Linked DNA regions of Lytechinus pictus. The main gene of each other region encodes a partner of the protein of the gene in region 2 in a complex. Links are inferred from orthologs where the notes say so. Each region holds a gene or a part of one and is shown on either strand. Other genes may lie near its edges.

Region 1 (7,929 bases), on a different chromosome or scaffold from region 2:
AAATATGACTAATCAATAATAACCTTGTCCTCTGTTAGGACTCCCATGTGTGGGAAAAATAGGGTTGGCAATGTTTGGCTTACTTTCTCTTGTTCTTGGTATAAATGTATCTGGGACAAGCTGAGTTCCCAATAAGAAAACTTAGGCCTGATGAGTGATGCTGAGCTGAATTTTGTGCCAGGACACTTCACTTCAATGCAAAGTTCCAGGACATGTGCAGAGCAAGCACAGCAACAGGTTTTTTTTTTGGGGGGGGGGGGGATAAAACCTGGCCAGGTCTGGCATGTTAATGAAAGTGTGTGCTGGGCATAATTTGACCTGGCAACATCTACAAAAGTCTGATGTCAATAATATTACAATAGTCTCGACTTGCACAAACAAGTTTAAAAAAAATAAAACACTTTGAATTGGTGCACACAATTGGCATTAATGCAATTTCGTATTGGCCGACTACGAGAGAATTTTCCAACCAGCAATTGTTCGCAAATGTCATTAGGAACTTAGTTAGGAAGTCTCTCAATCACATTTTTCTACATAGTACAGGCACAAGGCAGATCATAATTCATATGCCCATCGCTTTTCCGAATATCGCGATCAGCAGGAACGGCTGTATTTTGGTTGGATGTCGAGGTGATTGTCGAATTTTCAGTCAGACATCACTTGCTTTTGGTCGCTAACTTCAGTCCTTAGGCATAGCATAGCCATAGGCATATCAAAATTTATAGTTTTACACGGTATGGCGCTTCCATTTCCAAGCAAAGCAATGTCTGAGTCTGACCGAATCTGACTGAGGCTGAGCTGAGAATGAGACGAGAATTCAACAACAATGAAGCAGGCTTAGGTCCACCCATGGGTTCATATCATCTCGCGTGCGAAGGAATATCAGTCATATGCACGCGACACACACGACAAGTCAAAAAGATAGTGGGCTTTTGCCCACATAAAATATCACCAATAATCTGGTATTTCACATTCTGCTATGACACTTACCGAATCATTTAGATCCTTCCGTGACTTCTCCTTGAAGTTTTTTCTTAAAAATATGTATATTTTCTTGATCTTTAGTGAAGATTTCACGGAGATAAAATTTGGTCAGCGTAGATATCAATTTTCGCCTAAAGAGGGCGCGCGATTTATATTCATATCAAAGACACGACAAGGGAAAGATTAGGAACCTACACTATTTTATACGCAAATCGACGCAAGGCATTACGCGAATTCCGTGAAGTGTCCAATCTTTTCATTGTATAGACTTTGGTATACCATGACGTTCGTTAATACTGCTTGTACTGCTGGTTTCGTTCCAGGCATGTGTATTAAAAAAAATAAAAATTATATTAGTCATCGCTTTAAATTAATTGCAACAAAAGTGTTATCATCGCCAATAGTAATCCTGAATTATGTTTTTGAAGGTATTTTATTTATTGGTGCCCATAATTAGTAAATTAATCATAAGAATTGCGCATTCAAAGAATTTAGACACAGTTATAAAATTACCGAGGAGCTGAATCAAGGTTGTGAAATTTATTAGCGCCACCAACGGGCTTCCTTGTATTTCCGTAGAAGAGACAAACGAAGTCACTTGCTAGGCCGAGGTAAGCGAAATTTGCTCTTTTTAAATGAAATGAGTTCAATATCATATGTATAATTTTGTTATGTATTGCTACTTACCGGAAAGAGCCCCGGTGCGTAGCGAGAAGGAGTTTCGGCAAATATTACTTCAGCAATGAAGCAATGTTTGCCGACTACTTCAAAATCTACGGTCAAACAAGGTCCGGTGTACGAGGTTCGTATATATATACGAACCTCGTATTACTATTAAGTATTAGTGTGAGTGGCTTAGGACAGTAACTTAGGTCGAGATCCAACCAAAATACAGGGATTCCCTATCTCGATATTCTGAAAAGCGGTGGGCTTACTATGACTTGCTATGACATTTGTGAACAATTACTGGTGAGGGAATTCTCTCGAAGTCCGCTGGTGCGAAACTGCATTCGCGCCCAATAAATAGGCTAAATAAAACATAAAAATGAATAGGTGGGACTGGCATTTGAAACCAGCTGTAGAATATAACAGACGTTACATCCAAAATCATATAAACTGCACTAAATAATTAGTATTCTTACATGTCAAATTGGTTATTCATCTCTAGGTCCCCTTGTTGAGGTCTAAATGCAGATAATTCACGGTTGAAATCTCGTAATCTTCTGAATTCCAAGTCATACAGAATGATCCACGCACGTTCACGATATCGATATCGATAAGTATACTATCGGTTTTTTTGCCGGCGCGGCGGCCGGCGCGGCGCGGCCGCGCCGCCGGTCGGGGGCGCCGGGCAGGAGGGGGCCCAGCCAGCCGGGCCGGTGGGGGCTATAATTTTTAGGGTTTTTTTTATTATTATTGTTTACCGGAAGTGTTCACTGTTCAGAGAGGGTGGTTCGTCTAATTTGGGTACATTCATATCCAATTTATGTATAAATTTATACCAAAAATCAATGTGGACGCGACGGATCTAGACCTCTAGATCTACTAGGCCTAATAATAATAATAATAATAACAATGAAAGCAAGAGAGAGCTTTCCTTTAAAATGAACTGGCCCAGCTAGATTAGACTTCGAGATCATTCGATGCAATTAGATCGATAAATATACCCTTTTTTATTGATGAAATATACATGTATTTTTTAAAAATCAATCCCAATCCCATGTGATTTCTCAAGATGAACATTTTTAAGTAATTAAGTTTAAAAAAAAATCGTGTCTGATGTTATAAGCTTAAAAGGTAAGAGCAAATATCCCCGATCCCTCGTGGTGATCTATATCCGAAAAAAAGGTTATAATGACAAGAAAAAAAAATACAGATATTGAGTATGTTTCATTATATTTATGTGTCGTTATATGATTCATTGTCAAACAAAAAGAAATCAGGAAGAAAAATTCGCCTATAATCTGTTCTCAGCAACTGAATGCCACCAATACCAACAACATACCGAAAATGTGTAGGGCCTATACAAAATTATTATATCGTATAGACCATAATATGCAGCAACAACAAAAACATAAAAATGGTAAATAGAATTTAATTCTTTTCAGTGGTTTATTTCATTTCTATATCCATTTTTCAACACACAAATCAGAAATAGACCTTCATAAATACATAGGCCTATCAATTACATAAATAAATAAAAATCAATCATAAAAAAATGAGCTGACACTTGCTAATTGGCAATAACACTGCAAAAAATACAATAAATAAATATCAAAGATAGATAAAACATTTTCAAAAGTACATGTATGAATGTATGCTTAAAAACAAAGAAAAGAAATGTAAAAGAGACCAAGAAACGTGGCTTGTATAAATGCAAGAATAAAAAAAAGCAAAATCACCAAAAATATTAACATTGAAAAAAAATGTATTAATGAATCATACATAGGGCCAACGAGAGAGAGAAAAAACAACTGACAACAGGCGATTAAAAGCATGTTCATGCTAAATTAGCAATGGGGAAAAATAATCCTCACCACCTCACCACCGCTGATTAGGGAAAGTTCACCCTGACAAAAGTTGTAAAAATAGCAGAAATAATATAAAAAAAACATTGGTGAAGGTTTGAGGAAAAACCCTAAAAGAACTTTTTTTTAATTTACTAGAATTTCAATTTTTGGATTTGTGACGTCATACGCGAGCAGCTTCCACATATCGTATGGTAAAAAAGCAAACAAACAATGGAAATTCATTTTCTCATAAAATTGAAAATGGTTTTTATTGTACCTTCGATCAGTATAGGCCTATACCAATCAAAAAAAATATGTCACACCCACTCCTGAAAGAAATCAAACAATTAATGAGTCATCATGAACCACTGCAAATTTAAAATTTATGCATTTTATAATGGGGCAGCTGCTCATATATGACCCAAAAAAATAAAAAAAACTCTAATTAAATATTATAACTTTCTTAACCTTTGATGGATTTTCCTCAAACCTTCACCAATATTTTTATAATTTTTAGGGTGAACTTCCCCTTTAAACAATTTTCATGTTAATAGTTCATATTTCTTACGTTATGAATTTTGATTGAATCTCCTAGCCGGTCACCATTGTGAACTTATTTTTGCGTAGTTTTATATGAGGGAAAATAAATTCGGCTTAAATAGTCAAATTTGACTGAAAATCCGTAAAAAATCACCTAAAAAAGAAAAAAGAGTATATTATAGACCGGCTTGACCAGTGATGTACGAAGGGCCTATACAAATGGGGGGGGGGGGAGCCTTTTGTCAGACCAAGAGAAAAAGAAAGGAAAAAGAGCTGGGTGAAAGATATTATTTTCTGAATATTATGTCAAAATCTATCACAAATTTGGATTTATGTGAAAAGGTGTCAAAAATTTTGCTCGCTCGCTTCACTCGCTCGCAAAAAAAAAAAATTTCCCAATATGCCATATCTGGCCTTCTCAAAATTTTGGGTTCACGTCGCCACTGCATGGCCGGGCTTGACCTTGTATCACGAAAGAGCGTAAAGTATTATTATTATATAGTTTTGATGATAAATAACATTTATTCCGCACCTTGGATATCGCCTTCTTAAAAAAAAATGTAATATATGATTTAATGCATGGGCATGACGGGTCTTGAAAAGGGATCGAGGGGGCTCGGCTAATCATGCAAAAAAAAATGATAATAATTAAAAGAAAAAAAAAACCCAAAACAGATGGTGAAAAAATGGAGGATGAAGCTTCATCTAGTATTCTTTTTTGGTCTTCTTCTTTTGTTTTTATTTTTCTTTGAACTTTATTGAAAGATTGCCTTTCCCCCCGTGGTGGGGGCAAATCAAGGGGCAAATATATGTATTACATACGGTACATTTTCACTCACAAGTTTTTGCCAAATCTATAAAGTAGTCGAGCACCATCTACGTTCACTTCTGTCACGACGAAAGCAAGATGGCGGCTTCCATGACGGCAAAATCAAGACTTCTTTCTCTTGTGGAAGAAGCAGAAGTGTTAACAAAGTGAGATAAATTTGATTATACTGTGTATTTTTGGTGATGTGATGAATACATTTGATGAACGATTTTGGTTCTCTCTTACCTAACTCTTGTAATGACAACTTGGGCTTGGCCTTGTTCAGATGTTGAACGACTCTCGCCTCGCCCTCGGCCCTCGGCCAGCCCAAGCCAGGCAGCCGCGATTGGAGGAGGGAGCCAGCGGCAGCGCTACTACTTTGCTGGGGATTGATATACCATGAAGATGAGAGGAAAGGAAAGAAAAACAGAGCATTAGATTCTACGAGTAAAAGAGAAAGTGCACGAAATGAAATAGAAATGAATAATAACAGAAAAAGAGGAAAAGGGGTGAGAACCCAAGAAGAATAAAACAAAAGGGGCAATAGAAAAAGTAAAGTCAAAATGAAATGGGGAAGTAAGACTAGGCCTAGAGCAAAGAGGAGAGACAGAAAGAAAAAGAAACAATGGAAAGGAGGGATAAACGGTGGGAAAGAGGGATATTTTGTTGGCATACATCTCACTTTATTGCATGCTCATAAGTCGTACTCAGTCATAGACAGCTGGCAGCCGTCTGTTTTGAGGAGTTTTTTAACATTTTTTTTTTTTAAGTTCTCCTCATACACAGACGGCTCGCTAGCGTGCAGCCACCATTAGGGGACTTGCAATGCAAAATCCCCCCGTCGGGGCTCTTCAATTTTTGTCTTTAATCAATAAACATTTTGAAAATTAATGCGACCAAAATGCAAATTGATATTCCCTCTTGGCATTAATTGCCAAGAAACGGTGAAAAATCGAGTTAAAAGGAACAAAAACAGTGACTTACCTCGGCTGTCGCGCAAATTCACTTCCCCGTTTTATCCGATCTTAAGTACATAAACATATGGCCATTGAGTCCCCTGTACAGATCGCGCTAGAACTTCGGTCTCTGTATTTGGTGAGTGAAGCCAACGGAGTTCAGCTGAACAACCAACATAACAGAGACCGAAGCTTTTGGTCTAACTCAGTCATAGACCACAACATTACACTTACAGAACATACTGTATTTTTTTTCTTTCTAATACTGTCAGAATTGCAAACTTATCTGTAAAGGAGCTCTTGAAAAATATTAATTTGTGTTTTTGTTTTTGTTTTTTACACAGAGACCTCGGTGAGGCGACATCAGCAGTTAGGCAAAGAGTTCCTCATCCTGATGAACCTCAAGTAAGTTCTTCTTAATGACTGTGTGACATTAAGCTAAGAATTGAAAAACAAAGCAAAATCTAACAAAACAAAAATAATGGATCAACAGAAAATTCTAATTATTGTTTTTTTGTTGTTGTTGTGTCAATATACTTTATAGTGTAAATATCATATTTTCAGTGTGTATTTTAACTTGGCCCCTTTTTATAAGCTATGCCTTTTCCTGGGTCACCAAACCATCATTTTATGGATGTATGTTTTGGTATTTGTATCGATATGCAAGGCTCGACATTAGCGGTGGCCCGGTGGCCCAGGGCCACCAAAAATTCACCTCGGGCAACCATTATTGATAAAATGTTAAGTTTTGGTGGCCCGAATCGGGCAACCAATAATTTTCAAAGTAGCGCAATTTTTCTCCCAATTTTGCACGCATTTATCAACTTTCTACAGCTCAAATTGCAAGCCAGTTCGTCATGCGCCCTTTTTGTTGATCTACACACAAATACACACACACAAAGTTTGCATATTAGGCCTACAGCTATAGCATACAGCAGCTATTATCCAGCCAACCGCGCCGGCCGGCTGGCGTGAGCTTTGCATGAAGCCACTGAATACAGCTGTGCTCTAGATCTAGCTCAGCCTACTCAGATTCGGGGAGCTGCGATAAAAAATGTTGCTGCTGAGAAATCTTCCACAGAACTTTGAAAATCTCAGTCAAAGTCACATTTTACACCAATGAAATGCAATTCTACAGTCTATATTACGAAAATCTGGTGTACCCTGATTATTTGCAAGTATTAAGAAGAGGAATTATGACCTCTCTTTTGACTCAAAAAGACCGATTTCCACATGAATTAATACACATAAAAACACATCACAGTCCCACATGTGCATTTGTATGTATGTTGATACTTGGTTTCTTTCGAAGCTGTGTATTTTCTAGCCAAAAACAAACAGACAGTTTCTTTCTTTCTTGTTTATAAATGACTTCTTAAACCACTCTTGAGAAAGTAAATACTTTGGGAAGGCATTTCATTGATATGAAATGTGATTTTTTTTCCAACATTTTGGCAAATATAGGGAAGGACTTTTTTCACACTTTTTATCCAGAATCACCAGATATAATTTTTGCCGTTTTCTTATTTTTTTCCTTTCATTTTTTTTGACAGTGGTTAAACCATTTATACCCCTTCCCATTGAATATGCCTGATTAAAAAATATGTTTCTACTGAAAATAAAATAATACAAACTAAAGGATATAAAAATAAAAATGTGCCATTCCCAAAAAGTAAGTGAAAATTATTTGCTTGGCTTTTAATAATTATATTCCAGTCAGAATAGACTGTTGCCACAGCTGTTAAAAAATATATGTAATGGCTTCTTAATTTTCCCCTTTTCCCCATTTTTTTATTAACTTTGTTTTATTAATTTTTCTTTCATTTTCTTTTCTTTTTTCTCTCTAATTTTTTTCTTTTCTTTTTTTTCTTTTTTTCCCTGTTCTTTGTTTTTTTCTTTCTTCATTTTCTTTCTTTTGTTTTATTTCACTAATTTCTTTTATTATTTTTGTTTTCTTTTTGTAATATACTTTTTGAAAATTATTTTCGTTTGTTTCCCCCTTTTATGCATTGTTCTAATTTTGCAGCATATTTTTCTGTGATTTTCTCCTTCTATAATATGCTGCTAAAGAGAAAACAGAAATAAACTGGATTTGGGGCATAATCTAGGTTTTAGGATTCAAAGAGGAAGG
Region 2 (7,283 bases):
CGTTATGCACAAGTATATGCACACTGATGTTTATTTAATGTAATAAAATGCATTATGAGATTCATAATTATATGATGAGCATATTTAAACAGTTATCAATAAAAAATTAAATCAACCAAATATTACGTTCGAACAGGAACTCCAAGATGAAGGTTTTCTATGTCTTCCTCGCTCTCGCGGTCGTCGTCGCCTCCGTTGTCGCCATGGAGGAGGAGGAGAACGAGCTCTTCGATCTGATGGACAAGCGATCGATGGAGGAAGGAGATCTCTTGGAAGAGATGGCCTATGGAAGCGAGCCAATGGTGAAGAGAGGACGATTCAAATGTGAGTAAAAAATAAAATAATAGGATACATAGTAAAAACTTTGTTTAATTTTTTTAATGCATTTTTGTTTACTATCAACCTTACAGTATATGTTGTTTAAACAGTTTTTTTTAACTGTTGTAGTTCTGTTCAATTACTGCAACATGCCGTTTTGATATTTTTTCAAATTTCATTTTTATAATTTAATTTACAATTCCTACACTCGTTTGATATATAATGCATTTTGTTTATAATTTCAGACTGCAAGAATTCCAACGGTGATAACTGTGTCTGTGATCGCAAGTACAGACGTAACAGTAGAAGACGTTATGTCAACTGCAGACCAGCCAACACAGGAACACCCGTTTAAAATTCAAACAACAGACAGGCACCTTTGTATTATGGATGGATAATTAATTCAGATGAGGTATGAAAAAAACATTGTACTAATTTAATTGCCTGAAAATAGGGGGAAATAAAGGCATTTCAGTCGTTGTAGTTGTTAACCATGCATCCAACTTAAAATCCAAACAATATAGACGAAGCATCTCAGTTCGGACTTATTTCTACAGAGATATATTCATGTTTAAAGGACAAGTCCACCCCAAAAAAAAGTTGATTTGAATAAAAAGAGAAAAATTCAACAAGTACAACAGTGAAAATTTCATCAAAATCGGATGTAAAATAAGAAAGTTATAACACTTTAAAGTTTCGCTTAATTTCACAAAACAGTTATATGCACAACTCAGTGACATGCAAATGAGAGAGTCGATGATGTCCATCACTCACTTTTATTTTGTTTTTTATTGTTTGAATTATACATTACTTCAATGTTTACCAATTTCACATAAAGGACCAACTTAACAGAACCATAAGATGTAGTAGCAATGGTAATACCACATGTTCAGGGAGGAATAAAACTTCATTTCGCAAGACAATGAGGAGAATATTAGAATAATTCATATTTCATATTTTTTTTCAGTTCAGTTCAGTTCATTTATTCATTTCTAAAAAATTCAACGAGTACAGATATATATACATAAAAATCAACTTTTTGCTGGGATGGACTTGTCCTTTAATGTGTAATGCCATTTTTTTTTGTCTGTGAATCAAAATGATGATTCACAATTTGTACACTGTTGTTTATTCTAAGTAACTGTTCTGCAATTGCAAGGGATGCATGCTATGCAATTTTGTTTATTACTTTTTCTGTAGAAATGATTAAAAGAATTCGAATTTAAATTCAAAATCATTCATTATATTTACCTTTATATAAGTATAATATTATATCTGATTTTGTGTTGCAATAAATATGGTCATGTTTACTTTTTTTAATAAATTATAGAGCATTCTATCCGGCGGTTTCATTATACTTGAGGTTGCATGGTTCCAAGTCCAGTCGAGTCACACAAAATGTTATGGAAAATAAAATTTTCTCCAAAATAAGATAACTAACCAATCCCGGACTTCCCTCCTATTTTAGCTAAATACTGATTTTGCACTCTGCAAATAAATTTATGATAACAAGATATTATTACTCTCTTAAGTATATACTGTTTCTAATCTTTTGCTGTACGTTGCACATGAATTGACGACGAGCTTGTTTTGTTCTTTGTTTACAGTCCACAACTCTCCTCAAGAAATCTATACTGGTCGTCAAACATCATCTCATTGTTCTCCAGGCAAGCCAGTGAGCAAATTTCGCAGAAAAGATGGAAAACAACATTTTTACTGTTGATGTACAATAAACACCCTGCTCAAGTCATCTCATGTGCACCTAGAGTGTCAATATTTCAGTATTTTGTGTAATATGATGAGTAAAGAGGATGAGGGGGAGATCGATAGATAGATAGAAAAAGAGGGAGAGAGGGGGAGGGAGAGGGAGAGAGAGAGAGAGGGGGGGGGGGGGCTCTCGAGAGAATATGTGCCGTGATAAAATTATCTTCGGAAAGAACTAAAGATGTCAAAACGGTGTTGAAAAATAATTACGCCAATAAGACATTACCTCCTCTTTCCAAATTTAATTGACCCTTAAATTATTAATTCCATGTGGAGCTTGTTCGGTTAGAGTGAGTATTTTCACTATTTGGGTGGAAATCTGTCATATTCATAATTTTGTTTAAAATAAGTTTCAAGATTTTAGCTAATATCTCAAGTTTCAAAAATTGTATTTTGATATGTAACTCATAATGCGAACGTATCGCGAGCTAATTTCTTTTTTATTGTTGCAAGCATAGTACAACACGGAGCTCACAATATTCATGATATTGGGCTAAAAAATCTAATTATGATCTGTAAATGGAATATTCCATTTGATGACATAATGATCGATGTGGGAATATTGTAGAAATTTATGAATACGACATGGATTTCACTAAAGTCTAAACAAATAATACGAGCAAGAAGATATTTAAACTAACCCCAGTAATTTGAGGGGGCATATAGGCCCTATGGGCCCTATGCTAAAGTAAGCCGGTAAGTCATATATATATAGAGCTTATATCCCTATAGTACAGTATCTCATCACTAAAATGATAGATATGCCAGCGCGAAGCCGCGGTTTCTATATCATGAACAGAACACATTTGTCACAAAGAAATCATTATGCATGCATGAGAACGCGAGCGTGCGAGGTGAAATTTTTATTAACTGCATGATCTGAAAATGGGATGTAAACAATGTTGAACATGAACTAAAAATGTGATGCGAGCACGTCGACTTTTCTCATAATAAACCCGACAGGGGAGCATTTTATTAATTATTAAGAGAGCAATGCTAGTTTGTTAAGAAAATCAAGCCAAAAAAGCAAAAAAACCCGTTTCATTCTAATATGAAAATGATTTTGGTCAGAAAAAATTGACTAGTAAAAAAGGTTTTCTCTCCAAAATGAAGGCTGCTTCGGCAGCTTCAGCACCCCCACTTCCCAGGGCAATGAGCCGTGGCCCTCCGATCAGAATTATCGAAGCCACATTGCTTTCTGCAAACATGTCTGATCAGGGGCCCGTTGCCAGCTAGGAGATTTAATATAACAATTAGAAAAATATCATTAAAAAATACACATGTTTTGAAAGTTATTCAAATCAATATGAATAATAATATTTTTTTTTACATTCCCCCTCTATTAAAAATTCATGACATCATAACAAAGGTATAAGTACATTTGAACTTAATATTTTCATAAATTTTACATTGTCATAGGTTATTTTTTTCATAAAAGAAATGTATATACTTAAATGAATAATAAACGGGCCCGGTTTATTAATTATACAGTGCGTCCCACAAAAAACGAAACCGAGATTTATTCAATGATTTATGGCCTACCATTGTAAAGCTTAGAATTTCCTCTTTCATCTGGAATTACTTAGATTATTTAGATTATTATGAAATTATGGAAATACTAGCATTGTTTCGAGAAAACATAACTTTTTTACTTCTGAATCATTTTTGTGAATAAGGTATCAAAAAAAAAGAGCAGATATTGAACTTTTTAGGCATGTGATTTTCTTTTTGAAATTCAGATACCCCCCGCCAAATGAGTTGTTGGTATCCTTTCTTCAAATTGTTTTTGCTCACTCATGCGTGAATGAGGAATAATGTAAATAATATCAGATGAAAGAGGAGATTCTAAGCTGCTATGCTTTACATTGATAGGTCATTTGTCTATTGCAGGGGCCGCAGAACCGGGGGGGGGCTTCACCCCCCCCCCACTTTTTTCCAAACCGTGTACAAAAATGTAAAAATGACCATATGATTGTGATTTTTAGCATGGTCAGCCCCCCCCCCCACTTTTGGCTCAGCCCCCCCCCCCCCCCCACTTTGAAAACCGTTCCGCGGCCCCTGTATTGTATTTATGATTAAGTTATGATAAATCATCGCTAAATCTCGGTTTCGTTTTTTGTGGGACGCACTGTATATAGGCACTATCAATAACCATTAATTAATGGTTCTGTCTCCAATAATGTTACAGCGCCCTCTCTTGTTTTCTAGGCAGACCAAATTGGTGAAAAAGAAAAGATGTCGCTTTTCAAGCGAAGTCCCTCCGACTCTTCTTCAAACTACGGAGGCATTCCTCCAAAAATGCCGACACCGATTCGTCAGAGATCTCCAATGCCAACGAAACAATTCCTGAGTCCACCTAGCGTTGATCCAGAACCGTTTTATCTGCTGAAAGACCCACCACTATCCAATGGTAAGTCGGAAAAAAAATAAACAGACCCACCCGTATAAAATGATGTTATGTTGTAGCCTAACTAGACAACTTGAAGTTGTATGGCAGTGTATCCTATTGCCGGACACCTTTATTTCAGTGCTTTAAAAATGACAACTAGAGGAAATACAATCAAGAAAAAATCACATTTGCTATTCCAAATATTATGAAAATTATGAATATGATAAAATTATTTTATATTTACCAACCATTTTCTTTGCATCGCAGTTGCCGCATACCCCTCCACGAAAAACAATTATTTTCGTGCGCGACAAATTACATCATGATTCCGGACGCGTGCCGGACGGGTAAAGATATCTTTGATTATAATGATGTAAGAACAAATTTGTGTGATTTTTTTCTTCTTATATCATATGAGTAAATTCTAAGTTTTTATTTGCTTTTTATATCGAATCTGAGCAGATGTTGGTAATAAATTCGTGTTTGATAACTTATTTTATTTTTTCTTGTTAGCTGCATGTTCCATGGCACTTTCCAATAATATATGCTCGCGTTCGTATCGTGACGCTCGTCAAGTTCTATCGATGCGCTGCCGATCGACGGCTCTACTCACGGTAAACCTCGCGCACGGGTACCTTGAGAACTAGCCGTCGACGGTCACCCACAATATACCACACCTCATCATTCGATCGAAGGAGTGGACGAGATTGAAATTCGGCAAATCAGGCCCATATTTCCGTTAGAAAATATGTCAATCGTTAATGTAAAACTATGTTATATGCACTTGTTCACTGCAACCATCCTGCCTGTGGAGAATCTACAGGTAGGACTATGGCATGCCAATGCTGTACACAGCACACACTTTAAAAAATGATTAAAATATCACTTTTGTGACCAAAATTACTAATTTCCATACAGTTGCAATTTATTTTTCATTAGTAACTTGGGAATAATTTTTGTATTCACTAGAGCGCTCAAAAACTTGAATTTTGGGCATATTTTTGTGTACGCCCTCTATTGATAGAAAATAATATGGCAAGAAAATTTTCATTTTTTAATCTCTATTTTTAATTAAGAAAAAATAATTTAAAGAATCAAATTTACTTAAGGGCCAAGTTGTATGACGAATAACTGTGATGGAAACTGTCAGTGTAAAAAAAATCAAGCATTTTTCCCAAAGAAAAAGAGAAAATAAGCCAAACATTGCCATCCTTATTTTGCCACACATGGAGATATAACTGAGAACAAGGTTATATCATAACCTTGTTCATTGAATGAGTGGTTATATGATATTTTAAGCATTTTCTGTCATTTTAGAGATAATAAGGTAAAAGTTGGATTTTTTTCGCCTTGTTTTTGCAATCTTGTTCCATGTATTGCTCTGTGAAATTGAATTGCGGAAGTCATACGGTATGAAATTGTTTTCGAACGCAGTAATATGCGCGTCCGGAATCATAATGTGTCCGGTAATACAATACGTGACTATATGATGGGGTGTCCAAACTTCGCGGACTTTTCAAAAATATTCTTCAGGCTTAATTTTGTTCACAAAATATTCACAATTTATACAAAACCAATTCAAGAAATAGTTGACGGCAGGATCATTAATTATAAAATCATTGATGAAAATGTGAAGTAGGTCAAGACAAGGGCAGGCCAAGCAAGGCCGGGTTTCGCCGGTATCGCGATTTCTCAAAATTCCATTCCCATCGACGAATGTGCGCTGTGCTGGAAAACCGCTGACGACAAAATGCCATAGAATCAGTCACTACCACATTTAACTCACATTTTTGATAATATCTGCTTGCAAAATGATGATATCGTGATGCTTGTTGAGAATATCAGATTTTTTCGGAACGGGCGCTAACGGTGACAAATTTGCCGATCTTTTGTCAATATTTTCATGAATACTGAACTCATCCTAAAAAAAATTACGCCACAGGGTAATTTTAAGTCGCTTTTCACGTTGATGATGTCAGATTTTAAGAATATTGTCTAGTTTTCTAGATAATGACCGTCCGCGAAGTATGGACACACGCAAAGTTTGGACTCACTGCCATACGTTGTCGTTGTAGACAGTATGAAGAAGAGGGGGGGTCACCCCACTCACACTAGTACGAGGTTAGTTACCTCAAGCGATGTTCCTGCAGGCTCCACTTCACTACCGCTACACTTACCCGAACATCGAGCCCGTGAACTCGCTCTGATATTCCGAGTGACCGTTTGCGTTTGACAAAGTCAAAGGTGGGATTTTATGGGGGGAAAATATAAAATTCATGCAACATCACGATCTTTAAAAACAATTAAAACTAATATTCTTACTTTACAAAAAGTTTCACTGCTTTTCCATGCTTCTATCAGTCTCAAAATTGGTGATCTAGAGCCAACATAGAGTTCCTCACACGTATTAATAATTCGCTGCCGATTTCAAGACATCGCATGCGCGTGCGTGAGGGTCTGAGCTCGGACCCTCGCTCATGCGCATGCCAGGAAGCCTATTGATTTGGAGGTCAAAAGGTCAAAGATCAAGGTCACAGTGACATGTTTTCATCTTACCCTTCTGAAGTCCTTGTAAACGCGATAACTTCAGTTGAACTTAACCTAGGCTCATATAATTTGGTGTGTATGATACTAGGATGGATCCCAGGAAGCCTATTGATGTTGAGGTCAAATGTCAAGATCACAGTGACATATTTTCATCCTCCCCTCCTGCAGTCCTTGTAAACGTGATAACTTCAGTTGAACTTAACCTAGGCTCATATAATTTGGTTTGTATATTAGCATGGATCCCAGGAAGCCTCTTGATTTTGAG

Evidence for each region. The genes of interacting proteins can lie anywhere in the genome.
Region 1: mediator of RNA polymerase II transcription subunit 19-like (region 2) and mediator of RNA polymerase II transcription subunit 4-like share a complex: the UniProt entries of both Drosophila melanogaster proteins name them as parts of the mediator complex. The link is inferred for Lytechinus pictus from reciprocal best matches to the Drosophila melanogaster genes MED19 and MED4.

Annotation. Positions count from the first base shown.
Region 1 is NC_087260.1:10,322,345-10,330,273, reverse strand, and holds the start of mediator of RNA polymerase II transcription subunit 4-like, read left to right. Parts: upstream 1-4,918; 5' UTR 4,919-4,941; coding exon 4,942-5,009; intron 5,010-6,142; coding exon 6,143-6,203; intron 6,204-7,929. Other genes in the region: eukaryotic translation initiation factor 4E type 2-like, read right to left, coding at 2,127-2,146. UniProt on the Drosophila melanogaster protein: Component of the Mediator complex, a coactivator involved in the regulated transcription of nearly all RNA polymerase II-dependent genes.
Region 2 is NC_087246.1:20,716,610-20,723,892, forward strand, and holds the start of mediator of RNA polymerase II transcription subunit 19-like, read left to right. Parts: upstream 1-4,271; 5' UTR 4,272-4,317; coding exon 4,318-4,492; intron 4,493-7,283. UniProt on the Drosophila melanogaster protein: Component of the Mediator complex, a coactivator involved in the regulated transcription of nearly all RNA polymerase II-dependent genes.